Linked DNA regions of Sus scrofa. The protein of the gene in region 4 interacts with the protein of the main gene of each other region in a pairwise test. Links are inferred from orthologs where the notes say so. Each region holds a gene or a part of one and is shown on either strand. Other genes may lie near its edges.

Region 1 (6,117 bases), on a different chromosome or scaffold from region 4:
ATCTCCGCGCTCTGGATGAAGTCTTCCGTCTTTAGGTCTTCCACCTTCTTCAGCTCCCCGTTGGCCAGCTGGATGATGGAGCCTTTCATGAAGTAGGGAGGCAGCGTGGGGGGCGCGGCTGCGGGGGACGCCACCGACTGCACCACGGGCAGGTGGATCTGGGCCTGCACCATGGCCGGGTAGGCGGCCTGGGTGACCAGGGCCTCCGGGCTGAAGTTCTCGTTCTTGGGCAGGGCGGTGGTGACGAACGTGTGAGGCACTGCAGCAAACTGGGGCGATGACGTGACGATGGCCGAGGCCGCTCCCGACCCCTCCATGTCGGCGCTGCCGACGGGGATGAGCAGGGGCTGGGTGCCGGGGATGACCAGGTGCTGGGGCAGGCCGCCGGCGTAGGTGATCGCTTGCTGCTGGCTGCTCAGGTAGCCGATGACGGGTGGCTGGGTCCCCGCATAGAAGGCCGTGGCCGGAAGTCCGACTGGGAGTGGCTCCGAGGCGCTATGCGTGGTCTGAATGACCGTGTGGGGGGACAGTGTGGCGACGGCGGCGGCGGCGGCGGCAGCAGCCTTCACTCCTTCGGGGCCCAGGGCCTGCTGAGGTGACAGCGCGTAGGATCGGTGGCCGGGCTTCCCTAAGTGCAGGCCGCTTTTGTCGTTGAGGGTGGACGGGGAGGCCTCCCGGTGGGTGACCTGCTGCACCTCGAGGTCGGCGGCAGGGGTGCTGCTGTTGGGCAGGACCATCACAGAGGCCCGCACGCCCGACGAGTCCCGGCTGCCGTAGTCGGCGGGGCTGGGGTGGACCACCACGTGCCTGGACTCGTAGGGGTGGGGGACGGCCTTGCCGCCCGCCTTCACCAGGCCCAGGTCGGCCGAGGTGGGCGCCCCGTACCTGCGGCCCTTCTCCAGCTCCCCGTTCAGGATCTCCTTGGCCTGCATGGCCTGCTGCAGTCGGCTGCTCTCGGCTTTCTTGGTGGCCTCGCGGGGGACAAAGTGGCTGCCGGAGTCGGTGTACTGCACGACGACCTGCGGGGAGGGCCCCAGGGTGAGCGTGTGCGGGATCATGGTCTGGTGGGGGTGGAGGTGGACGGGGATGGCCGGCGGGGAGGCCGGGCGCGCCGCGGTCTGCGGGGAGCCGGCGATGTGCACGTACTGGTTCTGCGGGGTGGGGGGTGGGGACCCCGGGGGGAGGAGCCCCGCAGTCCTGCCCAGGTGCTGCGGTGGCGGTGGCGGCGGCGGCGGCTGCTCAGCCTTGTGCCCCGAGGCCTGGCTCAGGCCGCCCATGGTGGCCAGCAGCGTGGAATAGGCCTCCAGCTGGGAGCGCTGGGATGGAGTGGCGGCCCCCGCGGCCGAGGCCACCGCACTGGTGACGGGGCTGGCCGTGGGGGAGATCAGCTGGGAAGGGATGAAGCCGGTGTAGGGCCCGCTGTACTGGGAAGACCCAATGAACTGCAACGGGTGCGCAGGCAGGTGGGCGTACTGCACGGGCGACACCGGGGCCCCGGACTGCGGGGGCGGGTACGCCGCGGGCATCGTCGTGGTCGCCGGGACGGACCGGGGCGCGCTGGGTGGGGAGTAGTCCAGCCCCGAGGACAGCGCTTTGTGTAAACCTATTCCCTGTTGTAAACCGAGCTCCGGCGGGGGCCCCGCCGGCCCGAGCCGCCCGCCAGCGTGGCCACGGGCGCCCGCGTGGCCCGGGAGCCATGGCACGCCCTCCGCGCGGTGGTTGTCGCTGGGCACGGCCGTGGCCTTGTCCTCCGACGGCCGGCTGGTGGCGGGGATCTCGCGCTTCTTGGGAGGCAGGCATTCGTTGCTGCGCTCTTGGTTGGATTTCATTTTTCGCCGTCCCCCCTCCACGGTGACTGTTTCACTGTCTGGCTGGCTCTGGTTTTAGTCTGATAAACGGAAAGTCACATTTGATTTCTGTAGGGGATCCAGGCGCTTCATGAGGAATCATCTCCCCGCGGGGGCGATCCGCCAGCAGCCGCTCTGGAATCTGGGGAAAGGAAAGAGGATCGGGATGAGGGTAAGAGGAGGAGGAAAGAGAGGGAAGAGGGAGAGGGAATCAGAACATCAGCACCAGAAAAGAACGTGCTCCCAGAGACTCCGACTAGGCTGCTGGTGTCAACGTGAAATCCCCTCCTTCGCCCCAGGGTCAGAGCAGGTGACACACCGGCCTTGTTGGAGCTCATCAGAAGGACCATTCAGACAGGGAGCAAGTCAAAGCCTTTTTTATGGACTCAGCAAATCTCCTAAGACATCTCTCAATACCCTCTCTCCTTTCTTCCTGTTTTTTTTTTTTTTTTTTTCCTTGAGAGTGGACACTTGTGTTTCTTAGTTTTCCTTCCAGAAATGCCACTTCTACTCCTCGCCTCTTCTTTACCTGGCTGGAAAACTGGAATGAAGCCCACAAGGATGATGGCACCCATTAGGGTCAGCCAGACCTGCCCTCAGAGACAGACCCACCCGGACTTTGAGAAACCAAGTCCTCCGTGGACTTGATAGTTACCCCTGATTCCTCATCTGCCTGCCATAGATGCTACGCAGATTCCACTGACTCTGGGTCCATATGGGATCCGCCACAATTCTCTCTTCCCTAACATACACACACACTCATAACACACACTCTCTCTTTCCATAGGCCAGCTCAGCAGAGCCAGCCCCAAATAATTCTATACCCCACAAGCTTCCAAACAATTCCCAGTACAGCTACTCACATGATAACAGAAAGCCAAAAGGAATCTGTGACAGTTAAACCTTGAACACAGTTATGGTTGAAAGTGCAACTGGAGTTCCCACTGTGGTGCAATGGGATCCGTGGCGTCTCTGCAGCGCCAGGACACAGGTTCGATCCCTGGCCCTGCAGAATGGGTTAAAGGATCCGGTGTTGGTTGCAACTGCGCCTTGGATCTGAACCCTTGCACGAGAACTCCATGTGCCCTGGGTGCCCAAGAGGGAAGAATCAGTGCGATCCTCAGGCTGATGCATCCAAAGTGTTCTTTCTTTCTTTCTTTCTTTTTTTTTTTTTTGTCTTTTAGGGCCGCACTAACGGCACATGGAGGTTCCCAGGCTAGGGGTCCAATCAGAGCTACAGCTGTCGGCCTACACCACAGCCACAGCAACCCTGGATCCTTAACCCACTGAGCGAGGACAGGGATCAAACCCGTGTCCTCAGGGATGCTAGTCGGGTTCTCCAGCCACTGAGCCACGACGGGAACTCTGAGGCTCTTCTTAATAAGGGTGACGTGCTTGCTCTGCCTTTGCCTCTAACTTCCCTTCTGGTCTTTGAATTTTCTCCCTATACCTTCCACCCCCTTCTCCTTGGAAAGGGCCAATCCACCCTTAACCCTAGAGACGAAACCTCTGCCGGACCCATCAGGCATGTGTGTTTCCATCTGGACGTATCATTAGTGAGCCTGGAGCCAGTTTTCAGGGACACAGATCTCAGTGTCTCAGAAACCACACAACTCTAAGTTACCAGGCGTGTGTGGGCAGACAGATGCCCACCTGGCAAGAGGCAGGTCATTAATGGAACCAAGAGGAACCAGGCTAACAGGTGGCAGGTGTGAGGGCCACCTACAGGCCACACGCTGTGATCCTGGGGAGGCGCAGGATTGGGCTCTGAGAATCCAGGCCCTGGGTTTTAGCATTTCTCCAACCCAGACCTCTTTTCTACGGTGTGAAGTTAAAACAGGCACAATAAGGCAGCAATTTTCAGCATATGACCTTTATCTGTGCTGAAGCAATATCAGTGTCCCTGGCTTATAACACAGCCCTTTTCTCTCTCTGCCCTCCTATGCTCCCCTCCTGCGCCAGCTCATCCCACTTCTCTCCTTAGAGCTTACACACCCCCTTCTCCAATCTGTAACTTTTTTTTTGCCAATGATGTAGTGGCCCTTGCTGCTTTCGCTTCAACATCCTTAATGAACACCATGACAAAAGGACAGATGACACAAAAGTTCTCCATCCTTCTTGACTTTGACCAAGCATTCAAGGAGGTGGAGGTTAGAAATTTGGGGTCTCAATACAAATGACATTTCGATAAGAAATAGGATTGCTCACATGACAAGAGAGGCACTTTTAAGACTGAGGCAGAAACAAAAAAGTAAGTAAAAAGAGCAAAAATATTCATGAAGAAATATCTCTGTCAAAAAAGTAATGGCGATTATCTACCTCCTTGACCCAGGGCTTTGTAAGTCCCAGATAACTGTGTTCTGTACAGTTTCCTCTTATGAAGAACATGGCACATAATTTACATTGAATATGTGCAAACTGATTAAGATGTCAGTGCTATGTTCAAAACAATGATAGATAAAATTAAACAAAAATTAAAGACAGTTGCCCCTTCTCACTGCTTAAAAAGTTCTGATAATAATCTTCATTTCTAAAGTCACTCCAAGAAAGGACTGCCTAAGTCTCACATCCCATACGGACTGGGAGAGAAGTCTTTTAAGAGATGGACCCAAAGGGAACTGTTCCATGCGCCCCCTGCTGGCTCCACAGTAGCACTGATCCAATGAAACCCCACAGGATTTCATTAGGGATGTTCATGCAAGAGTAGTATGTCAGAATCCGGAATGAGACTATTTGCATATAGTAGGCCCAGCCAGTAAGGGAATAGGTTAATTAGCCCAAGGCAGCTCTAGGGAAGAAAAAGCAGCAGCATAAAAGTCCTTTCAAAGCCAAGCAAAATGTCAAACATGTTCAGAACGAGGTCTATTAGCAATGCAAATGTAAATTGCCTGTACAACTGAATGCACCGTACACAAAACTAGAAAACCCCTCCGAAGGTACTTTTTAAAAAAGAACTCAGCTTTAGGGAATTTGAAAAAGAATGCTGACTTGATTTTCAGTAGGGCTTGCGTTTATTTACACCCTTTTTTTGAGACACTGGCTTAGTTGGCCCTAAAGATCTTGGTACAGACGCTATGACTGGTCTTCTGCTAATGACCAGTCAAACATATTGGCCTTGACACACAAATTCAAATATATCTTTCTGAAAAGCTGTCCATTGATAAACATCTTTTCTAGAGAATACTAATGCTATATTAAGTATACAAAGATTAACTGGTGTGACTGGGGCCAGACTAATACAAATTTTGACTCACCCTCCTCTTACAGTTAAAAGGACCATGTCTCTTATTTACCATTGCAGCTTGGGGACTAGGTTCTCTAATTCCGGAGTATGTGTCCCTTCTCTGTTTCCTGAGCTCCCTGTACTGTCATCAGGGGAAAGAAATCATTGTGAGGGTAGGGACTGTGTCTTGATGTATTTTCAGTGAACCACCACGAGAGGGCGCCACAGTACACCACCAGGTCCCTGGCACACTGGATTAAAAGAATGGAGAGGTAAATTATGCAGGTGGAAGTCACTTCAGGGAAAAAGAAGGGAGAGAAAAAGAGACCAGGAAGGGGAGAAATAAAAAGGAGGGTGGATGTCTGCTTTTAGGGTCTCTTTCTAGCTGCAGACAAAAGCCCTCTGTGTCCCCAGTTGCCTTCTCTGTGCTCAAACAGTGTTTCCTCTGGGCCCGTGAGGAGGTCACCTCCGGATGTCCTTTGCCACAACAGCAAGATTTCTTGGAAACACGGGGCCACACAGGATTCTATACCTAAACTGCCAAAGAGCCATATATGCAGATCGTAGGTTTAAACATTATTGTTAGGAAAGGAAAAGTGAACAAAGAGTTAAGAGATGGATCATGACAAATTCATTTCGGGTACATTGAATGTACTGTTCTGAGTACATTCATCTTAAGCTTCTTTATATAGACATTCGCATCTCTCTCCATCATCATCTTAAAATTTAGCTCCGTGGCATAAGGCCTTGCTCTTCCAAGGGTGGTCCTTGGACCAGCACCCCCAGCAGTTTGAGAAATGCAGAATCCCAGGCCCCACCCAGCCCTCCTGATTCAGAGCCTGCATTTTAACAAAACCTCCAGATGAGTCACAGGCACAACAAGGGCTGCTGGAATACCCTCCCAAATAAACACCTCCGGCCTCCTTCTAGTGGGGCAGCTGGAAAACCAAACTAGCTGCTGTGAGCACACGGAACTGACAGAGCCTTGGAGATAAGCAGCTGGTATTTAGACAGCACTCAGCTGTTTACTTTGGGGTCCGTCACCTA
Region 2 (6,117 bases), on a different chromosome or scaffold from region 4:
TTAGAAAACTATACATAAAACTACCATATGAGCCATCAATCCCAGATTTGGGCATATATCTGGACAAAAAAGACACATGCACCCACATGTTCACTGCAGCACTATTCACAATAACCAAGACATGGAAACAACCTAAATGTCCATCAACAGACAATTGGATTAGGAAGATGTGGTATATATACACAATGGAATACTACTCAGCCACAAAAAAGAACTAAATAATGCCATTTGCAGCAACATGGATGGAACTAGAGACTCTCATACTGAGTGAAGTAAGTCAGAGAAAGACAGATACCATATAGTATCATTATATCTGAAATCTAATATACGGCACAAATAAACAATTCTCCAACTTTCATCCCAATCCCTCTATCCCTCCTCCGTCTTTGCTCTCACTATAGTTAAGATCACTTGTTGAATAGACCATTCTATGATGCCAAAAAGTGGATGGTCAGGAAATTCTGGCCCTGCGAGACTTTTTTTATTGAAATTAAGTGAATTTGACTTGATTGAGAGAAAGCTTTTTGAAAATAATTATAAAAGTTAGAGCTGGGCAATGTCAAACTAGAAATGCTGAGGTTAAAGTAGCCAGTGATAGCACCTTTCTATTAATAACTCTGTGTGTGCATGTGTTATTTATGGAAGAGTTCTTTCTGTTTCCGCTGAATGGCCGTGTTTCTTCAGTGACCTCTCTTTCTGCTGTATGTGTACTAGGCTCTGCAAGGATCACTTCATCACTTGTTCAGAAAGTCCTCTCAAGAGCTGGGCTTTCATGATGGATATTTCCGCATTCGCACAATCATCTAATTCACAATCTAAATACTTCAGGTATTCGTAGGTAATCATTAAAAATAAAAGTATATTCCAACTTGGAAACAAATACTTAAAAATTTGAAAGTTCTGTATTTAAATGTTAACACACCCTTTAAGGAGAGTGAAGTGAAACATCTCTGCCTCCAAGTGGTTAGTCACTGAGAGCATGTTGTCTGTCACACAGCCTTTGAAGAAAACAACCAGGAGACCTTAAGTGGTTTACATTAAAGCTAATAATTGTAAATGATATTGGAATATGTGATGTATGTCCTGTAGTATAAATGCACTGGGGTATTCAACTCTGAGAAGACTTGCCAACCAGTAAGTCTAGACTGGCTTCTCTTATCATTCACGTCTAATGAAAGTCCTAGGAAAAGCCTCAGAGTCAGAACTTTTCTGTCTGATGGTCAGTGAGGTATAGTTATAAAATTTAGCATTCAGAGGAGGAACAAAGCACCTAATTTTAGATTTTAGAAAGCAATGGAGATGCTGAGCAGCTAATTAGGACTTGTGATTTAGCGAAAGGACCAAATGACCAAAATAGTGACTTTAACTGGTAGAAGAAATGTGATTCATCCATACATAGAATCCAAAGTCACTCATTATATATTTTGGATATTAATCCCTCGGCAGTCACTTCATTTGCAAATATTTTCTCCCATTCTGTGGGTTGTCTTATGGTTTCCTTTGCTGTACAAATTAAATTTAAATTAGGTCCCATTTATTTATTTTTGTTTTTATTTTCATTACTCTTAGGAGTGGATCAGGGAACTCTCCCAATAGTCTGTGATTATCTGTATGGGAAAAGAATGTGAAAAAGAATGGATGTATTATGTATGTGCATAACTGAATTACTTTGTTGTACAGTAGAAATTAGCCTGTTATAAATCAACTATACTTCAATAAAACTTTAAAAAATGAAAAAAAGTCATTCATAAAAAAACACTAATAAAGAATAGCATTTCCAATGTCACATAAAAGGGAAAAATTCACTGACAAGGATATTATTTCATAGCTATGATTGAATGAAGAAAAGCAAATTGCAGAAGAGAGTAATCTCAGCACCTTATATATGAGCAGTTTTATTGTTCATACTCAAGAGAATGTAAAATCACCTAAACTAATCTCTACCGCTTCAAAAAAAAATGTTCAGAGTTAATGGCCATAGGTCATTACTGTCATTATTATACGAAGTATGAAATACCATGAACATACCAGATGACTGCCAGGTGAGTGGCTGCAGCCAGTGACGTGTGTAGCTTCAAGAAGTGGATGTCCTGGGGCTTGGACTGAGGCTCCCAAGTCTGCTGTGTCAAGGTGACCACTTGTGACACGAGGCTGTCACAGGTAACTTCAAGTTATAGGAGAGTCTTTCTAATGAGTCTTTCCTGGGATTTTGATTCAGATCAAATGTGGAGAATTTCAAATCATGAGTGAGTATAAATTCTTCATTCCATCCTAGAATTTAGAGGATTTTCACCACATGAGAGTTTACAAAAGTGTTCTTGATATATATCAAAGGGGCCAGCTCTACTTCTGTTTCGTGCTTCACTCTTTGGTGGACCAGTGAAAAATGGAACAAGGATGATAAGATAATCATGACCATGAAAATGATTTTAAAAATCAGATATCAGTCATTAATGATGCATCTAAAGATAACAGCAAACCTATCCTTGTGCAGATAATCCATTCATTGTGTCCATTCAATTATCCACATGGACTACAGCACCATGCTTGTTTCTAGGAATGGCCAGGAGTTGTAAGGATGGCTGTAGTTACTGACATTACCAAGTGTCAGTATCAGCAAGACTTACTGTAGGAGTCTGTTCAAACACATGCCATCAAAATTCTTTGAGACATAATTCTTGAGTCATACTTAGCAAACGGTGGTGTGTGAAGTCTTCTACGGAAAACAGTTGTATTTAATTAGTGAATACATGACTGATTGCAGAAGAACACATTTCAGAGACTGTTGGAGAAGATAGGACTGCTTCATGATATAAAATTTCTTTTTTTCTTTTTTTTTTTGTCTTTTTTTATTTTAGGGCCACACCCGCAGTGTGTGGAGGTTCCCAGGCTAGGGGTGGAATAGGAGCTGTAGCCACTGGTCTACACCCCAGCCACAGCAACGTCAGATCTGCGTGGCCTCAACAGATCCTTAAACCCACTGAGCGAGGCCAGGGATTGAACCCACATCCTCATGGATACTAGTGGGGTTTATTAACCACTGAGCCACAATGGGAACTCCTGATATAAATCTTCTTAAAATCGAGTATTCCAGAAATGGAAAATGGAGGCCTTCATCAGGGAGTTCAGTGCGCCTTCCTCTCTGACCTGGGTTGACACCCCTGTCTTCTGTTTCTCTGTTTATTCCCAGAATGCAGACCCCACAGTTCCTGCAGCAGCGTCGAAAATTTGCAGCTGCCTTCTTGGCATTCATTTTCCTTTTGGCAGTTGTGGATACCGCTGAAGCAGGAAAGAAAGAGAAACCAGGTAAGCAATACGGTTATGAGCACGAAACTCTTCCTTAAGTAATGTCCCCTTAATCCAACTACCTGATTTTGTCCTTTCTCCTTCCCTCCCCCTCCCTCCGTCATTTTCTTCCTACCTTTCCTCTCTCCAAGTATTCAGAGGAACCTAAGAGACATCCCCTCTCACTTCCATCCCCCTCAACTGTAAGTCCTAAAAAAGGGATGAGGATCATTAACTTGAGCCGCATGACAGTGATCACAGTAAAGACCACAGCAGCAGCTACTGCGTTTGGAAAACCGACCAGCAGCGATCAGGTGTTTTGCTTATGCTCATACCTTCCTCCCAAAGAGTCCTAAAAGGAATTTTTGTTTTATCTCATATTGAAAAAGGAGGAAGGCGAAGCTCAGAGAGGATGAAGCACCTTTTCTATGTCACTCCCCTTGTCCTAAGGGGCTGTGCAGCTGGGAGTCTGTTTACAGCTGCGTCCACCACACTCGCCTTACGCTATTCCTCCTGTACGAGAAAGGAACGTTGAGACATGCGTCGAACTGGCTAACCTGACAACTCTTACTTCTCATAGACTAGTTTCTCATTTTTCAGGTTTAACTGACTTTGACCATCTTCTCTTTTTACAGAAATGTTTGCTTCTAAAAGGAGAGATCAGTGAATCACTTAGCACAGTCCTTGATACATAATAAGAATTAAAATGAATAACAGTTCTAGCTCCACAGTTTTCTTTCTCCCTTCTCTTGGTCATTGGTTGATTGAACCATTCAGCTAACACCTATCAAGTTCCTACTCTTACTGAACACTGAAGACAAAGGTAAAATGCCCAGACCATGCAATTAAGGAGATCAGGAATGGACTTAGTTATATCTAGGAGTTAAAGATTTTTCTGGATGTTGATTATTTTTCTTTCCTCCCTTCCAGAAAAAAAGGTGAAGAAGTCTGACTGTGGAGAATGGCAGTGGAGTGTGTGTGTGCCCACCAGTGGGGACTGTGGGCTGGGCACCCGGGAGGGCACCCGGACTGGAGCTGAGTGTAAACAAACCATGAAGACCCAGAGATGTAAGATCCCGTGCAACTGGAAAAAGCAGTTTGGAGGTAAGTCCCACCCCTGCAGTCCTGTTGATGTCATCTTCTACCCTGAGATAATTCTTGCATTCTTCTACCAAATACCTTTTTGAGGTCGATTCTATTTATTTTAACACATTTATTTTCTCAGATGCAGCCTAACCGGGCACTTTGCCTACCCCCAGGTACCTCATTTTCAGTACTACTAGCATGGGAGGGCTCAGATAATTTTTTTGTCCTGGATGGAGGGTTATTCTGTGCACTGTAGGGTATTTAGCTGACTCTCTGGCTTTTACCCATGAGTTTCTGGGAGCATGCCCTCCACCTTACCAACTGCAGCAACTGAAAATATCTCCAGTGTAATCCAGTTATAATGGAAAAAAATAAAAATCATTACACACACACACACACACACACACATATAAAGAAAATTCCTCCAGATAGTGCTGCACATTTCCTGGGGTGAGTGGGGGGTGCAATAGTCCCTGACTGAGGCCACAGGCTTTACCAATAGGGATAGAAATGAACCCTTGATCCCTCTTAACAGTGTTCTCTTTCCTTCTTCTATTTCTAGATTCCTTCTGTCTCCCCTTCCTTTTTTCTTATTTATTCTCCTTCTCCCGATCTCTTTCTGTCACTTGCAGGCCCTCTCTCTCTTTTGCTCTCTCTCCACTTTCCACATGGGTTTGTAGATTCACTTTCCAAACCCAGCAGGGTTGCTGTGAGCCCCTTTTCATAGATTTTTCTCTCACCAAATACTGCCAGTTTCATGCTGACTTCATCTACCTACTTGAGAAGAATCTTTCAACTCCTTCAACTTTAAACCCACCACTGAACACCCAGTTCCTTGATTTTTTCACATGCCTAGTGGGACACGATGCCCCAGATATTCTCCCTGGTCTACAGGAAGGTGCTTTGACCTAGTGACCAATGGAGAAGAATAATGAATAGACACACTATATCTTTTTCATTCTTTATAACTTTGGGGGTTATAACTTTTTATGAGTAGAGGTAAATTCTGTAAAAGGATGGTAAAATTCAGATACATTTAATCTTGAATTGTATATGGATACCCTAAGAATGATATGCAAAATGTCTTAAAAACTGTGTCTTCAAGGTCTTGTGTCTAGAATATATAAGAACTCTCAAAACCAACAATCCAGTTAGAAAGTGGGCAAAAGATAGGAACAAACATTTTACTGAAGGGGATAAATACATGGCAAATAAACATTTGAAAAAGTGTTCAATATCTTTTTCCTATTAGAGAAATTAAAATGAACACCAATGAGCTATCATTCTGTATTACCTATTAGAATGGCTAACATTAGAAATCACATCAGATGCTAGTGAGGATGCAGAGAAACTAGATCATGCATGCATTGGTGATGGGAAGGTACATACAGAAGCCACATTGGAAGAGAGAATGGTAGTTTTTCACAAAACGCAACTTGTATTTACCATACAATGCAGTGGTCTCACTCTAGAGAAATGGAAACTTATGTTCCTATAAAAATCTATACAGCAATGTATATTGCAGCTTTACTTGTCATAGCCAAAATCTGGAAAGAACCCAGATGTCCTTCCACTAGTGAATGGCTAATCAGCTGGGGTACATCTGTACCACAGAGTACTACTGAGCAATAAAAGGAATAGGCTACTGATACACACAACTTGGATGGACGTCCAGGAGATTTTACTGAGGGCAAAGAGCCAGTCTCAAAAGCTTACAAACTATATGATTCCATTTAAGTAACACTC
Region 3 (5,106 bases), on a different chromosome or scaffold from region 4:
CTTCTTCTGCATTGAATTTCAAAATGTGACCATGATAGCATGAAAAAGAATTACTCTTTTCGGAAGTCCTTTTTAAATTTAAAACAGTGAATAGAATAAGTGCTTTATAGCCAGGGTTTGGAAAAACTGCCTCGTGATTGAGAGACAAAATTAGGGAGAAATTATGTGGATTTAAACACAGGTTTTGTGTTCAAGTAGTCATGCTGGCTGAATGAGCGAATACATGAGCCTGCCGATTCTGGTTTCCTAGGACAGGGCTCTCCTCGGAACCATCGGCTGCGTCTGTTTCAGGATTTACCTGGGCTTCGGATCTGCGGAACTTCTTAGATTTTGACCTCAGTCCATAGACCACACTATCCCCGCGGCCATCATTGGGGTCTCCCGTGGGGACAGCCGGAGTGACGTCGGTTGCTGGGGTGTCGGTGGGGAAATCGGTGACCAGCTCATCGGATTCATCGGAGTGATGAGACTCGTCGGATCGGTCAGCGTCGTCAGCGTGATCAGCTTCCTCGGAGTCCGTGTCCCTGCTGTCCACGTGGTCTTCGTCGTCGTCGTCGTCCACATCGTCTGTTTGCTCAGGGCTTTCGTTGGACTTGCTTGGCAGGGTCTAAATATCGAGATGGCCAGAAACATGGGTGTGAGAGTTTTTAATTTCCCCTTAGCTCGACAGTGCATCTGCCGCTTACTATCTTCCTTTCGTGTGAGAATCTTTGCAGTCAGGACAATGCACTCCGTGGCCCTTAGGCGCTAAAGCCAGCATCTTCTGATTTCTCTTTTAACGCAATGATAAGTGGCATCATATTCAGGCATTTTTTCTGGCTTTCTCACAAAAATTATTTTCATTGGTATTTTCAAGCCAAATATCTGAGTACGATACGTACGTAATAACACTGTTTTTCCTTGTTCACATTAGACATTATTCAATTTCCTGAATTCAATAATGTAATAAATACAGATACTAACTGTGGAATTTCTTTTTCTATTTGAAATGAGAATTCTCAGGCCATCAGAGCATTCATATATCAGTAATGTGTACCCCCCCACCCAAAATCCCTTCCCTATTAGTCCGGATAATTAAAAGTGACTCTGTTATCCATATATATATATATATATATATATATATATATATATATATACTGCAGCTCAAAATCAGTTCGTGTCTATTAAACATCTGATTAGCAAATATACTGGGCTATTTATCTACCTTTCCTTATTAGAGATTCTTAGCACCTTCAAATGGAATCTTAAGGAAGACAGCTTTACCTTATCCCTTTGCTTAGGAAATATATGAATAGTCCCAATAAAAAGAAGAGCTATTAAAAAACTATAATGTTAGGAACAGAAAAGTTCCTGGAGGCAAAATCTTGTTTTTGGTAGGCATTATTTAGATACTTATTAGGTATTAGATGACATCAACCACATACCTTAAATAACTGCAAAAGGCTTAGTATTTCAAACAGACATGAGTCAACACTTCCTGCCACAGTAAACGTATTTGTAGAAACCTGGTATTTTTGACATTTAGGAAATACTTGCGCTTTTGGTGAGCAAATTTTAGACGTGATATTTACTGGATCATTTGCTAACGTAATTTTGCCGGAGTTGAGCCCTGGCAGTGTCACTAGGAGAAAGAATGGCTTCCTTGGTCCCTCTGTGACATGCCGGACCTTGGATTCAGAGTGAAACTCACCTCTTGTTTGAAGTCGTCCGTTTCCTCCGAGGAAATAGTATTCTGAAGAAGGAAGGGCACAGATCAGTGTACATCATACATGCTTAATTTTTAAATTCAGAAGGTAGCCTTTTCCATCCACAGCAGGTCTTATTTTTTAGCCTCATTGGTGGATGGCTTTGCAGGGAAGACCACATGGCAGATCAGTTGCTCGAAGTTCATGTTTACCAACCAGCAGGAAAGAGCCATTTCATCAGGCTAAATGACCTGCTTGGTAGTTACAATTTGTGGTGGTGGTTCTTTAACCATGAGAATTTTAATATTTAAAATAAGTTAAAATCAAAAGTACCTGTGGCGCTAGGAAAGTCTGCTTCTGAGATGGGTCAGGCTTTAGCAATGTGGCTACAGCATCTGTGTATTTGTTGGAAAGCTACAAAAAAAAAAAAGAGTTGCACATTTGTCATTCTAGAAAAAAGAAGCAAGGATCTCTAAGTGATAACCTGAAAACTTAGGATAAGCATAACAAGCATGACACAGTCAAAGAGAGCCTTAGATATACCTGTCATAAGGTCTTCTTTCCGGAACATTCCTTTAATAAACTCTTACTTAGCACTGACTGTGAGCCAGGCATACTTTCAAAACTATTTATAAATATTCCTTCTCTTAATCCTGGAGTAGGTGTCATCCTCATTATTCTCAATCCCATCTTGCAGATCAGGAGACATTCAGCCACAGTGAAGTCAAGTGAGAGTCAGTGGCAGAGCCGGGGTTCAAACCCAGGGGCTCTTCACACTGGTGCTAACACTGCTTTCCTGTGCTCTGTGTGGCAGCTGAAATTCCTCTCAGATGAGGCCAAACTGAAGCGGAGGTGCCCTCATTTAGCCCTGCTCTTCCTTGTTTTCTTTCTCTATGGAACAAGGAAGAAACTCTCCATGGCTTTGGTGGCCACGAAACATATGGCTCTTTAAATTGAAGTTGATTTAAACAAATTTAGTTCCTCCACGGCACAGCCTACATTTTGAGTGTTCGCTGGTCACATGGGTCTAGTGGCACCCCAGTGGACAGTCAGAAATCTAATATTTTACTGCTTTAAGGTGCCAAAGGCATGAATGGGAAGGCCTTTTATGTAGACAAGTCGTTTTTCTGGAACATGGCAATAATATGCTAGGAACGGAAATTGCAATGAACAGGTGTCATCGGGCAGGCTGCATGGCCCAGGGTAATCACTTCACATTTCTGCCACTGAAAACGATTACCCGGGGTTTCCAAGAGCTCCTTCAGAGCCACCAAGGAGGGGACAAGCAGGAAGGAAACCAGTCGGTAGCCCTTTGGGTTTCCCATGGCTGGCTTCAATCAGAGCAGCTTCATATCAGGCCTCTGTGAAAGCTCTTGCTCAAAGAAGGGGCTCCTGGAATTAAAAGATGTGAAACCTACTGGCCTAGTTGAGTTTACAAGTTCCCTCTTTCTTTTCTTTAAAATATAGATTTACGTAAATGCTATATGCATAAATATGTTATCTTCGATGTATTTTATACATATTTGGATGATAGGTGTAATACAGGCTTTTCTATATTTATAGGATAAATGTATAATTTTAAATAGAACCGGAGTTCCCACTGTGACTTAGTGGTAACAAACCCGACTAGTATCCACGAGGATGCAGGTTTGATCCCTGGCCTCACTCAGTGGGTCAAGGATCCGGCATTGCCATGAGCTGCAGTGGAGACTGCACATACAACTTGGATCTGGCATTGTGTGGCTGTGGTGTAGGTCAGCTGCTGCAGCTCTGATTCGACCCCTAGCTTGGGAGCCTCCCTATGCTGCTGGTGCAGCCCTAAAATGACAGAAAGAAAGAATATATGGATAAGAAAAACAAACTAAAATCACTCATAGGTAACCAGTGTTCCTCTTTGGAGGTTCTCTTTAGAGACTTTCCATATTTCCTACCGGCTCTAGATTTCTAGGATTCTAGAAGGCTCAACTCTTTACTTATCTCCCAAGTGTCAGTGAACAACTGACACTGCCACGGCTTCCTGGGCCATAGTTTAGTCTATTAAAAAGGCACAAAGTCCTGCCTTAAAGAGCGTGACCCCTGTCTTCTCTGCAAATATTACTTTTCTGGCTTCTTACTGTGATTCAGTACTTGTGCTCTTAACTCAGTTTGGAAAACAGACACACTCACACACACCCACTTGCACGCCCAAACACACACAGCGATACGTCTCCTAACATCTTCTTTAAGCCATCTCACTGCGGTGTGACCCCAGGCAGCTCTCTACTGGCCTTTATTCTGTTCTTCTGGAATTGAACTCTGTGTGCCTTTTTGTCCAAGCTCCCTGGGACAATGCCCGCCTGTTGCCTGGCTGGCACGGTTTCCCCTCTGGTGGGAGGGGCAGTACATCAATGGCGCTACAAATCATTGTAATCAAGAGTTTGCCTTGGTTTTATGCCTGGTGAGAAAAATGTGATCTGAAGTCATCTGACAAGCACAGCGGATATAAACAGCATAAATAGACTTCCTTTTTTCCCTATAATCAATAGAAATTTTATATCATTCCTTTTGTTCTCTTTAAAAAATTAATGTATAGTTGGTTTATGATGTTGTGCCAATTTCTGCTGTACTGCAAAGGACTCAGTAAATTCTTTTAAAATATGATTTTCCATCATGGTCTATCCCAGGAGATTGGATATAGTTCCCTTTGCTCTGCAGTAGGACCTTGCTGCCTATAGATTTTCTTTTTATGATGGCCTTCTCAGCAAATATCTTAGGAGCTCTTGGGACTGTTCTGGTTATACCAACTCACCAATGTGTGAGGTGAATTTTAAACTTGACCTGCCCCCAAGTACAGCAAAAGATGGAATTTCGTGCTACTGGAACAGTGTGTTGACTCATGGGAACAAAAAACCACACAAGTTCATAGAACTCATTTTACGTAAATGATAATGGCCCAGAGCAAGATTTTATTCTATTAAAATATTTAGTTTGGTTTTAGGAGATGACAGTAATTAAAAGCAATCCTGTGCGTGGTACTGGCCTAGAACCGTAGCAGGCATTCAATACATACTTCTAACTTATTTTGTTTAACTATGAAATAAGTAAAATTGCCGTATGTTTGTAGTATATCTTGCACCAGTGGCATCGACAATTTAACCAGATGATAAACCTTAAAGATACTCACCAGCTTTTCCTCCGAGCTGCCAGAATTAGTCTGTTTAACCTTTGAAATAGAACATGGGAAGAAAGATTACAGTGAGAATGAGTTCCTGGCACACTGAAGCACACAATTCATTTATTTGGGGGAATTCTGTTTAAGATTCAGCTGTACTCACTGGAAGGGCAGAGGCGAAGCCCCAGAGGCAGAAGGCTATCACTGCAATTCTCATGGTAATGATTTTCCTGCAAAATACTTTGTAAGAAATATTTGATCTTCTCCTAG
Region 4 (6,646 bases):
GAGTCCTTCTGTGTGCTCCAAGGGGATCCTGTGACTGTCCCTATGATAGCACTGACCACACTATATTTTAACTGCCTGCTTACTTGTCCCACTTCCCTTTGAGACTAGAAGTTCCTGGAAAACTAGGATCTATGTCTTTTCATCACTATACCCTGTGTTCAAAACATGGCTGCTGAATAAATGAATAGATGAACAAATCAAGGTAGAAAAAGGTGGAAAAAGGCCAGACAGGGTATAGGCAGGGCACAGGTGTCCTCCACACCCCAACCTTCTCTCAGACCCACCTGCCTCATGAGCTCAGGGTTGTTGAGCATGTGGCTGATCTCAGGGTTTCGCTCCATCAGCTGCTGCATCTGAGGGTTGGCCATGATCATGTGGCGCATCAGGTCAGGGTTAGACATCATGTCCTGGACCAGGGGGTTCTCCATGATCTGCGACAGCATCTCAGGATTGGACATCAGCTGCCTCTGCATCTGCTGCTGCAGTTCCATGAAGTTGGCGGAGCCCAGGCCCAGGCTGCCCAGGCCCAGGATGCCCCCAAAGCCAGCTGTGGGGAGGGGGCAGGGTCACGGTCTGTCACAAGACTCTTCCCCTACGTGGCCAGAGTCACTGATCAGGACTCCACGATGGGCCCTCTGCTTCTCACATCTCCCTTTGCCAGTCATTTCCACAGCCCCAGCCCTGATCTGCTGCTGGCAGAGAGATGTGAGCCTACTAGACCAAAACCTCTTTGATGGCAAAGGCTGACAGTCAGGCACAGCACTGAGCACAGAGAGGGCAACTGGTGATGGCCTAGTGAATGAGCAAATAAATATTCCCCAACTGGCCACTGTTAACCCACTTTCCCCAAACACCAATATCCTCACCTAGGGTTCCACGTATCCCCAGCCCCATATTCCTCCTCATGCTTAACATTTTGCCATGCTCCTTCTTCTGGGAAGCCCTCAGAGACTGGTTTCCTGTCCCATTTGGCTCAAGTACCACTGTCTGGAACCCTATGTCCAGGGGTCCCCTATCTCCACTGGGCCAGGAACAGGGACTATATTTTCTCCTCCTCCTGGCTTTCCCCAACTCCCCAGCCCCGAACAGGACAGTGCCCTCCTTCCTAAGGGCTTACAGAGTATGGATGCAGTGGCACTGGGAGGTCCCTCCCCAGTCCCTGGGGAGGGACCTCCTCCACTGCTCCTTCGGCTTCCACTGCCAGTATCCGAAGCGGCACTGCCAGAGGTGGAGGGCTGGGCAGGGGTGGCGGGTGAAGCAGGCGTGGTGGAGGGTGCTGAGGCTGGGTCTGGAGTGGAAGGGGAAGAAGCAGTGGCAGTGGTCTGATCTTGAGCCCTGAGGACAGAAAGAAAAATCCTAGTTGAAGCGAACACAAAAGGGAAGACAAGGATTTCTGTTTGCTATGCAGCTAGGGCCCTAACTTCCTAAGCAACCCTGAGGCTAAGGCAGGGTAGTGCTGCAGGGAATCAGTAAATCAGACAGAGGGAGAGAAGAGCCTTTTTTTGGGCCACACCCACAGCATGTGGAAGTTCCAGGGCCAAGGATTGAACCTGCCCCACAGCAGTGACCCAAGCCGCTGCAGTGACAATGCCGAATCCTTAACCCACTAAGCCACCAGGGAACTCCAGGATCCTCTATCTTCGGGGCATTCAGGGAGAGGTAAGTCAGGTTCCTTTCCCCTGGAGATGAGCTCACAGGGCTTTCTGGCAATCCATCCAAGAGGCACCTTCCTGGGCCTTGGCAAAGGCCTTAGATGTACAGTGGAACTACGGGTGACAAAGCATCAGTGGGGGTAAAAAAAGCCCAACCCGAAGCTGGACCTGCTCCTCTCCTGAACTTACTTCTGAGGGGTCTTGATGACCAGATGGACAGTGAGCCCATCCTTGATCCCATGCTGGTTCAATGTGTCCCCATCCTTGAGGATCTTGCCCGCGAAGATCAGGACCAGCTGATCCTGCTGAGCCTTAAATCTCCGGGAGATTTCCTCTTTGAACTGTGATCAAGAGGCAAAGGTCACTGTGGAGGCTGCCTGGGCTCCACCAACAAGGGACTCTGCCGCTTCTTCAAGAGCCTCTGCTCTAGTCTTGGGAAGTCCTTTCAGCGGTTCTAATTCCACTCCTCTAGTTGCAATAAGCAGCTCCTTTCTGAAGGAGCTGGACTAGAGAGAGCTCTACCCTGGGGACTCCCACCCTAGAAACCCTTTGCTCCTTCTTCTTTTTTTTTTTTTTGTCTTTTTAGGGCTGCACCCGCAGTGTATGGAAGTTCCCAGGCTAGGGGTCGAATTGGAGCTGCACCTGCTGACCTATGCCACAGCCACAGCAACTCGGGATCTGAGCTGCATCTGCGGCTTACACCACAGCTTACGGCAACAATGGATCCCCAACCCAATGAGCGAGGCCAGGGATCGAACCCGTGTCCTCGTGGATACTAGTTGGGTTCATTACCACTGAGCCACGAAGGGAACTCCAAGAAAGACTTCACTTCTATCTGCCACTCCATCTTCAGTCCCTCCACCCAGTTCCCCGTGAGGGTACTGCCTAGGCAGTTCTCACCATCCCAACTCCTTCAACAGCCTTGGGCCCAGGCCCTGTCTCCCTTCAGCCTTCTCTTCTCAGACCCCAAGTCTTTTTCCTCTCTTTATTTCCAGTGTTCTTGTGACAATGATGATAAACAGATCCCACTTATTTATTTAGGTATTTACATATTTATTGGCCACATTCACAGCATGCAGAAGTTCCTGGACCAGGGTTCGAACCCAAGCCACACAGTGACCTGAGCCAAAGCAGTGACAACGCCAGACCCTTAACCAGCTGACCCTTAACCAGTTACCAGGTAACACGTTATTTATAAAAGCACTAACCATTCAGAGTCTAAATCCCATGAGATACATGTTAACAATTATCTCCATTTTAAAGACAAGAAAACTGAGAATCAAAGCAGTTAGGAAACTTGCCCCGGGCAGACTGGAACTTAGGCCTCGATACCGAAGCCCAAGCTCTGAACCAAAAACATGGATCCTCTCAACTAGAGCTGATACCAAATTCAGCTTTGCAGCGAAAATGATTTCAATTCTGGAATGGAGTCATTTTATAAGGTTGGGGGAAGGGCAATAATGGCACTAAAAGCTGGCTTGGAAAGAGTTAAGACTCTACATCTATCCGCAACCCCCCTACCAACCCAAACTTACACTCTAAGTAAAAACAGTGCACTTGCTAAGCAAAGGCAGCTTCCAGATCCCTCCTTCCCAACCAGAAAGCCTATCTTAGCCCCGCCTCTGTGAAATTCTGGAGCCGCCACAGGCGGGTGGTGAACACAGCAATATTCCCTCATTCAGTCATTCACCACATTTTTCTTGAGCACCTACTGCACCTTGTGTAAATCCCAGAGGGGCTGAGAACCAAACGCAACTACCTTGATTTGAAAGAGTAGCAAAGATCCCGGCAGAGGGAAATCCTCCCCCCGCACCGGCCGGGCGTCAGAATGCTGGGCGTTCTCTGAGACGCACAGTAGAAGCCTGGAGCTTTCCTCGCCTGCGCCCCGCGCCCACTATCCGGCCTCCGCACCTTGCCCGGCTCCCACCCTGCCTCAGCGCCTCGAACCCCCGCTAGTAAGCGGCGCAAACACTCCTCTCCAACACAGGGTCCTTCCCCCTTGCCTGTGCAAGGTGTCCTCTTCCAACTCCACCACGCCCCCAGACCAGGCCACAAGGCAAACCCCGGCCTCCCTTCCCAAACACGCGCCACGCTACCCCGGATCGACCTCGCAGGACGCCCCCTACCCGCCGCCTCTTCCCTCCCGCTTCCCCGAGTGCCTGCTGGGCCCCCGCCCTCCTCTCCCCGGCCCTCCCATACGCCCGACGGTCTCAGAGACACCCCCCTCTTCACAGACCACTCCTCCGCACCCCCCCAATCCCCACCACCCGTACTACCTCCTTGACCGAGGCTCGATCGCAGATCACAATTTCCTCCTTGTCCTTAGGGGTCTTGACGGTGACCCGAATCGGGGGCCTCGTCTCGGCCCCGCTCGGCTCCGCCATGCCGCCGCCGCCGCCGCCACCCGGCCGCCCGCCAGCCCGCCCCGGCTCCTCCTCCTCCCCGCCCGCCCGGCGGTGCTCGGCTCCGGCGCCTCCAACACTCCCCTCTCCCCTCCCCTCCCCAAGGCTTCACCGCCCCCTCCGGACCAGCCGCAGCCACAGCGCCCCGGGCGGACCGGGGGGGCCACTGCAGCGGGGTCCGCCCAGGGCCGAGCCCGGGGTCTGCAGCCTGGGCAGGGCCTTGCTGGGCGGCGGCCCCCAAAGGGGCTGCTCCGGACAGGGGCGGGAAGCAAACTCTCCGGGAGAGACCACCGCCCGTGGTAGCCGGTCCGAGTCGCGCTGAGGTGCCAACCCCCCGCCCCCGGGCCCAAAGCTACCCGCCCCCTCCGCGACTAACTCTTTCTCCGGGACAAAGGACTTTCTGTGTCGCCGCTTTATCTCCGTTCCCTATGATAACTGGTCTTTCTTGGAAAGCCCAAATCCTTTCCAGGCCTGAGGCTTCTCCCGACTTGGAGGCTGAATTTTCCACTTCTGGATATCTACCTAAAACCTCTTCTGTAGGATTGACTTAATTCCCCTGAGGGTAGCGGCCTCCAAGAAGTCTATTCAGTACAGTTCCAGAGACCTGGATTTTTGCCTGCATGGCCTTTCTGAGCCTATTTCCTCAATAGCATCTATCTCCTCATCTCACAGAATTATGCATAATGTAGAAAATTGCTTTGAGAAGTAACCCAAGGTATGCCTGACAAGTATAGGAATTTTGTTTTCTTTTAATTACTGAATCGTGGATTGTCAAGCAGATATGACTCCTCTGCCCGAGAGGGTTAAATGTCCTTCCAGTACTGCCACTATCCTTTTACTCCCGCTCTTTTCCCCCATAACCGCGTGGTCTCACTGGAAAGGCGAACTGTAGTTCCCAGGGTGCCTCGCGAAGCTTCGAGGAACTACAATTCCCAGCGCCCCCCGCGGTGAGGCGGGGTTGAGTCAGAACCGCACAGTCAGGCCAGGAAACTACAACTCCCAGGAGTTCTGGAGCCGGGCAGCTGGACTACGGGAAGCGGCAGGCGGAGGCCAGTTATAGGAAACTCCGGGATCAGGTTGTGAAAGCCCAGGGTTAGGAGCCACAGGCATGCTGCGTCCCAAGGCTTTGACCCAGGTGCTAAGCCAAGCTAACACTGGAGGTGTCCAGAGCACCCTGTGAGTGCGGACCGAGAGGCCGAGCGGCGAGCACTGGAGTGGGGCTGCGCGCGGCTCTCCGAGGGAGGGGTGGGGAAGGCTCTCTGGGAAGGGAGGAGGTGGCAGAGGGGGCAGCCTTTGGGTGAACCGGCGAGAGGGCCACTCTTGAAAGAGAAACTGACGTGCTGGGTGTTTGGGGCATGTTCTAGGACACACTCAACCCAGACCCTTGCTTTCTAGGAGCGCCGGTGGGCGAGTTGGGATGGAAAGTCAGGTATTTTACTCCCCATCCTGAGCACGTTGATATCCGTTCTGATGCTTTTCCAGGCTGCTGAATAACGAGGGATCTCTGTTGGCCTACTCTGGTTACGGGGATACGGACGCCCGAGTCACTGCAGCCATCGCCAGTAACATCTGGGCGGCCTACGACCGGAACGGGAACCAAGCATTTAACGAAGACAATCTCAAATTCATCCTCATGGACTGCATGGTATGGAGAGGGGAGCCATTTCCTCTGTCCCTAAGGGGACCCCCAAGGGGCACCCTGGACCCCATCCTGGATGGTTGGGGCCCAGGGACAGGATTTCTGGAAGATTACTAAGAGTTGGTCTGCAGCAGCATTTATAATAGGCAGGACCCTATGTATCAAGTGGTGATGAGGAAGGAGTATTGGACCCGAGGTCTGGCTGGGTTCTAGTCTCAGCCAGCCACTTGCCATTTGTGGAACCTTGGGTAAGTCACAAGCTTTTTTACCACATCTCCAGTGTGAAAATAATCCCCACCACCACATCACGCACACAGGGTTGTTGTGATCAAATGAAAGGGTAGGTGTAAACTGTAGAGTGATATGCAGACACAAAGTGTTGTCATCTGAGATTCTCAGACTCAGAAGCATGGCAAAGTGTCCAGACCCTAGTCCAGTTCCTTCAGTTTACAGAAAAAGGAGATAAAGTCCAGAAAGAGGAAGCGCCATTAGACTGAATTTCTTGGGAACAGAACCTGTCTCATTCACCTTTATATCTGTTCAGTTAACAAATTTTTAGGTCCTTGCAGTATTCTCAGGACCTGGGAAAAAAATAGCAAACAGGACAAACAAAAACTGCAGCCCTAATGTCTCATATATGCCTTAAAATAAGTAAAATATGTATGTTTGTAAAATCAGTTCATAAATATGTTTTGTAACATACATACATAAGTTTAAAAAGTAGTATGTGGAGTTCCCGTCATGGCTCAGTGGATTAAGAACTAGTATCCAGGAGTTCCCGTTGTGGTGCAGCAGAAAAAAATCCTACTAAGAACCATGAGGTTGCAGGTTCAATCCCTGGTCTTGCTCAGTGGGTTAAGGATCCAGCGTTGCCATGAGCTGTGGTGTAGGTCGCAGACTCAACTTGGATCTGGTGCATTGCTGTGGCTGTGGCATAGGCTGGCAGCTGTAGC
Region 5 (4,868 bases), on a different chromosome or scaffold from region 4:
AACTGTTAAAGAAATTGTTTAAGTCAACATTGACTTGTTTTAGACAAGGATATTGCAACCATCACTTAAAAGTTTGGTGGCACATTCTTTAGTAGGTCCTTAAGGCAATATATTTAAACTAATTTACAATTTGATGTTAACTTTTTAAACATCACCTCAAAATAATGCCCTCACAGTAGCCTTTTTAAAATGTATTCAGATGGTTCATAAAAAATAATGGTGGCTTTATTATAGTAGTGCTCAATAGCACCACTACAGTTAAGGGTCTACCAGGTTTCCATTAAGAACACCTATTTCTGAGATCACCATAAAAGATCTTATCAGCTTTAACCAGTTGGGTAGTGCACAAAAAAGCAGTTTTATCAGTTGCTGGTGCTTTTTTTGTACTACTAGATATCAAAAAATTTTCATTATATCTTCAAAATCCAACTTCTATAAAGTAAATCAAATCACCTCATGACTCAGATTTGAGAACAAAGTAGAGACACCTGCAGTTATCAGTAAATTGCCACCTTTAATCCATCCTGCAGTGCCCTATGAAAGGGTCACAGAGAGACAGTTATGACTGTATGAAAATATGATTCTTGATACAGAATCAAAAGTATTTTCAATTTCCTTTGCTTTTATAAAGTCCACAATAACAATACTTAAATGCACTTTTTTTTTTTCTGTGATATAATTAAAACCCAGTGTTATTTCAATTGAACTTAAAATAGAGTCCCTGGTCTGAATTAGACTTTAAATCATACTGTAAACATATTTGGTATAATTTATTGATCATCATCCAGTTGCTCCAGAAGGGTCCTTCTGCGCTTTTCTAATTCCCCTTCACTCAGTTCACTGCCAGAAGTGTCCCAATTACCCTAGAAAGACAATGAATACAATTATATTTGATGTCAGTACTCAAAAGATTAAGTAGTAATGAATCTTTGAAAAAAGAATCTGAAACCTATTTGGGTTCTCTTCCGGAAGCAAACACATCACAAGGTTTAAAGACTGACCTCTTCCCCAAAAGCCTCCTGATGGGTTGTTAACTAAGTACTTCTTTGTTACATTAAGAGAGAAAGTTAGAATGAGACTTCCACTTAATGGGTGTTCATTTCCTAGGTATTACATTCATTGCTAATTTTAGGTTGTCCTATCCAGAGTTTTGCATTACATAAAAGTATTATGCTTCAAAAAGCATACTATAAAGCATACTATGGTGTCCAACTACAGAAACATTTAAGATTTATGAGGACAACTCTTGGGCTGGGAGAAAAAAATACTGCATTATCTGTAAGAAGCAACTTTCAAAAGTGGACAGTCCACCATCTAGCTTTCCCCTTCAGGGATTTATTTAATCTACTGTAAGGAAGAAACTATTAAGCCACTAAATAAGCATAGAGGAAACATTCAATCCTCACCAAGGATGTGCATTAGAGTCACCAGGGCAGTTTAAAAAAAAAAAAAAAAAAGCCTCCACCCTATTCCCACTGAATCAAAATATCCAGAAAGAAGACCAGGGCTTGTCTACACAGTTTAAATCCTCAACTGGTGATTCAGAGGCATCACCCTTGCCAAGTTCATAGCATCTGTGGAAGGAATAATAAGGTGAAGAAGGCTTGTATTGTGCTCTGGCATATATGCATACACACAAATGGGAAACTAATTTTAATTTGATATTAAAATTAATTTGGTTTGTAGTATCCCCCCTTATTTAATACCTTCACTTCTTCCCCCACAATTTTTTTTTCTTTTTAGGTGCTGCACCTGTGGCATATGGAAGTTCCTGGGCTAGGGGTTTTTATAAGGCTGCAGCTGCTGGCCTTCATAGCCACAGCAATACAGGATCCTCAACCTGCTGAGCAAGGCTAAGGGTGGAACCTGCATCCTCATGGATACTAGTTGGGTTCATTTCTGCTTTAAAAACTGGAGTTCATAACCATGACAACTGTGGACATTTGGAGGGAAACCTCTGATGTCTCTTAAATTTTATATTCCTAAAAAAATTAGATAGAAAATTTCCATTGGCATTTCTTAATGAGAATGTACAGAGAACATACCTTTCTTAGGGTTAAACAATAGTTACAGAATTCTGTACTTCTTTCTAAGGAACATGAAATTTAGGATGCTTAAATTGGGTCATTCATAATCACATGTTAGAAAACTATTTTTTATGAAAGGTAGTTCACTGGCATTTCTATATTTTGAAAATACAGACATGAAATAATTCTAAATACTTACAGAATCCTTTCCAGTCTTTTTCTTAGGTGATTTGTGTTTTGATTCTGATCTTTGTCTAGTTCTGTCTTTTTCACTTTCCCGGTCTTTTTCTTTTTTATCCTTCTCTCGTTCAGCATCTGATTCTGGGGAGTCCTGTGTTAAATAAAAAATGTTAGCATTTTGATGAATAAATTGTTCTAGTAGAAAAAAATCCCTATATAGGTGATATTTAAGAACCTCCATGTATAACAGGGTATGTTTTCCTAGAGTACTAAAATTTGAATTATTAATCTCAAGGAATCTACAGCATTCCCAAGATTCATGGGAGAGGAATTCCCGTCATGGCACAGTGGAAACGAATCTGACTAGGAAGCATGAGGTTGCGGGTTCGATCCCTGGCCTCGCTCCGTGGGTTAAGGATCCGGAGTTGCCGTGAGCTGCGGTGTAGGTCAAAGACGTGGCTCGAATCTGGCGTTGCTGTGGCTCTGGCATAGGCCAGCAGCAACAGCTCTGATTAGACCCCTAGCCTGGGAACCTCCGTATGCCAAGAGTGCAGCCCTAAAAGACAAAAAAAAAAAAAGATTCATGGGGAGAGTTGGTCTTTCCTGAGGGAAAAATGACATTTTGATAGGGTTTAAAATACCACTAAAAAAGAGCATCACAAATTAAGTGTACCTTCATCCCTAAGATCAGAAGCATCTTGATTTGTACATAATGTTAAGAACTGAGAGTATAAGTTGTTAAAACATTTGACTTTGTGGTTCTTAGCAACAGCTGCAATATATACACATACATGGATCTTTCTCTAAGGTTACTATTAAAAAAAAGAGTGGGGATCTTAACACTGTGGTTCTTTTTTTTTTTTCTTTCAAAGCTCATCAAAAGATTTTAATAGAAGATTAAGGTGAACAACAGCTGTGACACTCTTGAATTTTAGGTGCCCACCTGAATTCTGTTGACTGTACAGGACTAGACAGAAAATTAGGTTCTACTGCCATTTAGGAAATTAAGGGCAAAAGCCTAGGCACAGAGTTCCCATTGTGGCTTAGTGGGTTACAAACCCGAGTAGTATCCATGAGGATGGCCTTGCTCAGTGGGTTAAGTATCTGGCCGTGCCTCAAGCTGTGGCGGAGGTCGCAGATGCGGCTTGGATCTGGCATTGCTGTGGCTATGGCTGTGGCCAGCAGCTGCAGCTGATTCAACCCCTAGACTGAGAATTTCCATATGCTGCAGGTGTGGCCCTAAAAAGTGCGCTCCTCCCCCAAAAGCCTAGGTGCAGTATAAAAATTAAGTCTGCTTACAGATTTATGCCTTCTCTTCTTGCTTTTCTTCTTATGTTTTTTTGATTTCTTATAACTTCTCTCTAAGCAGCACAAAAAGACACATGTCAGAATTTGAGGACATCCAAGTGTCAATGATTTTCATCAAGTTAAAAGATATGTTTACCAGATTCAGCACTAGAAGAATGTTCTGAAGCAGAGCGAGACTCTGATCTCTGTCTTTTTTTCTTTGAATGGCTGTCATCATCATCTGAATCTGACCCCTAAACAATACAAATAATTTCACTCATAATTATGCTAACAAATATTTCAATACACTTATGGTGCCATTTTAAATAAACTTCCTTACTGATCGAGAGCGGGAACGTTTCCTGTGATGTTTTTTAGATTTCTTAGAATGTTTCTTGTTCTTTGAATGATGATGTTGACATTCATGCTACATGGAGTGAAAGAAAAAAAATTTCAAGGAGTTCACACTTTAGACAGTAGATCATAAGATCTTTTTAAAGCTTCACAAGTAATTTTAGAATAAAAATGCCTTCAGTTTGCTTATTTAGAATGTACTCCCAACCATGAAACTGTGCAAAGAATTATTATCTAAATGTTCTCTTCTGTTCCTTCTTAACTATCCCATACCCAACTCAATTGACATCTAAACACAACGATGTTATTAAAATACTTTTTGTAGCAATGAGAATGGTGTGGGTACAATAGGGATAATTGATACCCTCCATAAAGGAATAATCTGCAGAAGAGTTAACACTGCTTTCAAAAACAATGAAATACAATTACATTGAAACATAGGTTTCTTGATGAATGTGGTTTTGGTTAGTGAGCTAGGCTCAGCACTGAGATAAAGAACCACCCCAGAGACATCCTTGAACTTCACTGAAGTTGGTCTCAGATATTAAAATGCAAAATCTACTCTTTCTTTTCACCCAAAAGTATCCCCTTCCTACTCAAACTTAAGACATTCAAAGACAATTTAATAATTCTAACTTAACATTTTCTTTTCTGGTTTCATGTGATATCTGTGGGCTTGAACTATTTTACTGTAACAATTAGTAGGCTAGCAGGAAAGGGGATATATAGCAATAAAAGCTCCTTGCCCCCAAACATACCTAAGGCTTTGAAAATAAATTCTGCTTTGGTTTACAAGTGGAAATGGAAAATCTAGTTCAGGGACTCTTATTCTTTTTTTTAATATTACTGAATGTTAACTCTCCTTCGTTTTCTACCTCGAGACCCATATTATTAGGGTCCAAAACCTATCCTAATATGTTCAGCCCTTCCCTATGTGCCGGCATTAGCTCCATTTAGCAATTACCCCCAGCATAGATCACGAAAGAGACTTCTCTTCTTTGGAGACTCCTGAATTGGGGG

The links.
Region 1: the proteins of UBQLN4 (region 4) and ATXN1 interact in binary tests that used the Homo sapiens proteins (3 or more experiments, as listed by UniProt). The link is inferred for Sus scrofa from reciprocal best matches to the Homo sapiens genes UBQLN4 and ATXN1.
Region 2: the proteins of UBQLN4 (region 4) and PTN interact in a two-hybrid assay, tested with the Homo sapiens proteins (2 studies listed by BioGRID and IntAct). The link is inferred for Sus scrofa from reciprocal best matches to the Homo sapiens genes UBQLN4 and PTN.
Region 3: the proteins of UBQLN4 (region 4) and SPP1 interact in a two-hybrid assay, tested with the Homo sapiens proteins (2 studies listed by BioGRID and IntAct). The link is inferred for Sus scrofa from reciprocal best matches to the Homo sapiens genes UBQLN4 and SPP1.
Region 5: the proteins of UBQLN4 (region 4) and PRPF40A interact in a two-hybrid assay, tested with the Homo sapiens proteins (2 studies listed by BioGRID and IntAct). The link is inferred for Sus scrofa from reciprocal best matches to the Homo sapiens genes UBQLN4 and PRPF40A.

What each region holds. Positions count from the first base shown.
Region 1 is NC_010449.5:12,321,001-12,327,117, forward strand, and holds part of ATXN1 (ataxin-1), read right to left. Parts: intron 1,990-6,117; 5' UTR 1,830-1,989; coding exon 1-1,829. UniProt on the Homo sapiens protein: Chromatin-binding factor that repress Notch signaling in the absence of Notch intracellular domain by acting as a CBF1 corepressor. Binds to the HEY promoter and might assist, along with NCOR2, RBPJ-mediated repression. Binds RNA in vitro.
Region 2 is NC_010460.4:12,284,656-12,290,772, forward strand, and holds part of PTN (pleiotrophin precursor), read left to right. Parts: intron 1-2,028; exon of another isoform or gene 2,029-2,805; intron 2,806-3,190; 5' UTR 3,191-3,191; coding exon 3,192-3,306; intron 3,307-4,215; coding exon 4,216-4,389; intron 4,390-6,117.
Region 3 is NC_010450.4:131,078,968-131,084,073, forward strand, and holds part of SPP1 (osteopontin precursor), read right to left. Parts: intron 5,103-5,106; exon of another isoform or gene 5,067-5,102; 5' UTR 5,054-5,066; coding exon 5,000-5,053; intron 4,888-4,999; coding exon 4,849-4,887; intron 2,100-4,848; coding exon 2,019-2,099; intron 1,733-2,018; coding exon 1,691-1,732; intron 608-1,690; coding exon 299-607; intron 1-298. UniProt on the Homo sapiens protein: Major non-collagenous bone protein that binds tightly to hydroxyapatite. Appears to form an integral part of the mineralized matrix. Probably important to cell-matrix interaction.
Region 4 is NC_010446.5:93,973,870-93,980,515, reverse strand, and holds the start of UBQLN4 (ubiquilin-4), read right to left. Parts: upstream 4,131-6,646; 5' UTR 4,037-4,130; coding exon 3,929-4,036; intron 1,994-3,928; coding exon 1,842-1,993; intron 1,336-1,841; coding exon 1,118-1,335; intron 548-1,117; coding exon 285-547; intron 1-284. Other genes in the region: ragulator complex protein LAMTOR2, read left to right, coding at 5,163-5,230, 5,537-5,699. UniProt on the Homo sapiens protein: Regulator of protein degradation that mediates the proteasomal targeting of misfolded, mislocalized or accumulated proteins.
Region 5 is NC_010457.5:60,390,698-60,395,565, forward strand, and holds part of PRPF40A (pre-mRNA-processing factor 40 homolog A), read right to left. Parts: exon of another isoform or gene 3,922-4,868; coding exon 3,835-3,921; exon of another isoform or gene 3,749-3,834; coding exon 3,652-3,748; intron 3,569-3,651; coding exon 3,507-3,568; intron 2,359-3,506; coding exon 2,227-2,358; intron 864-2,226; coding exon 771-863; 3' UTR 1-770.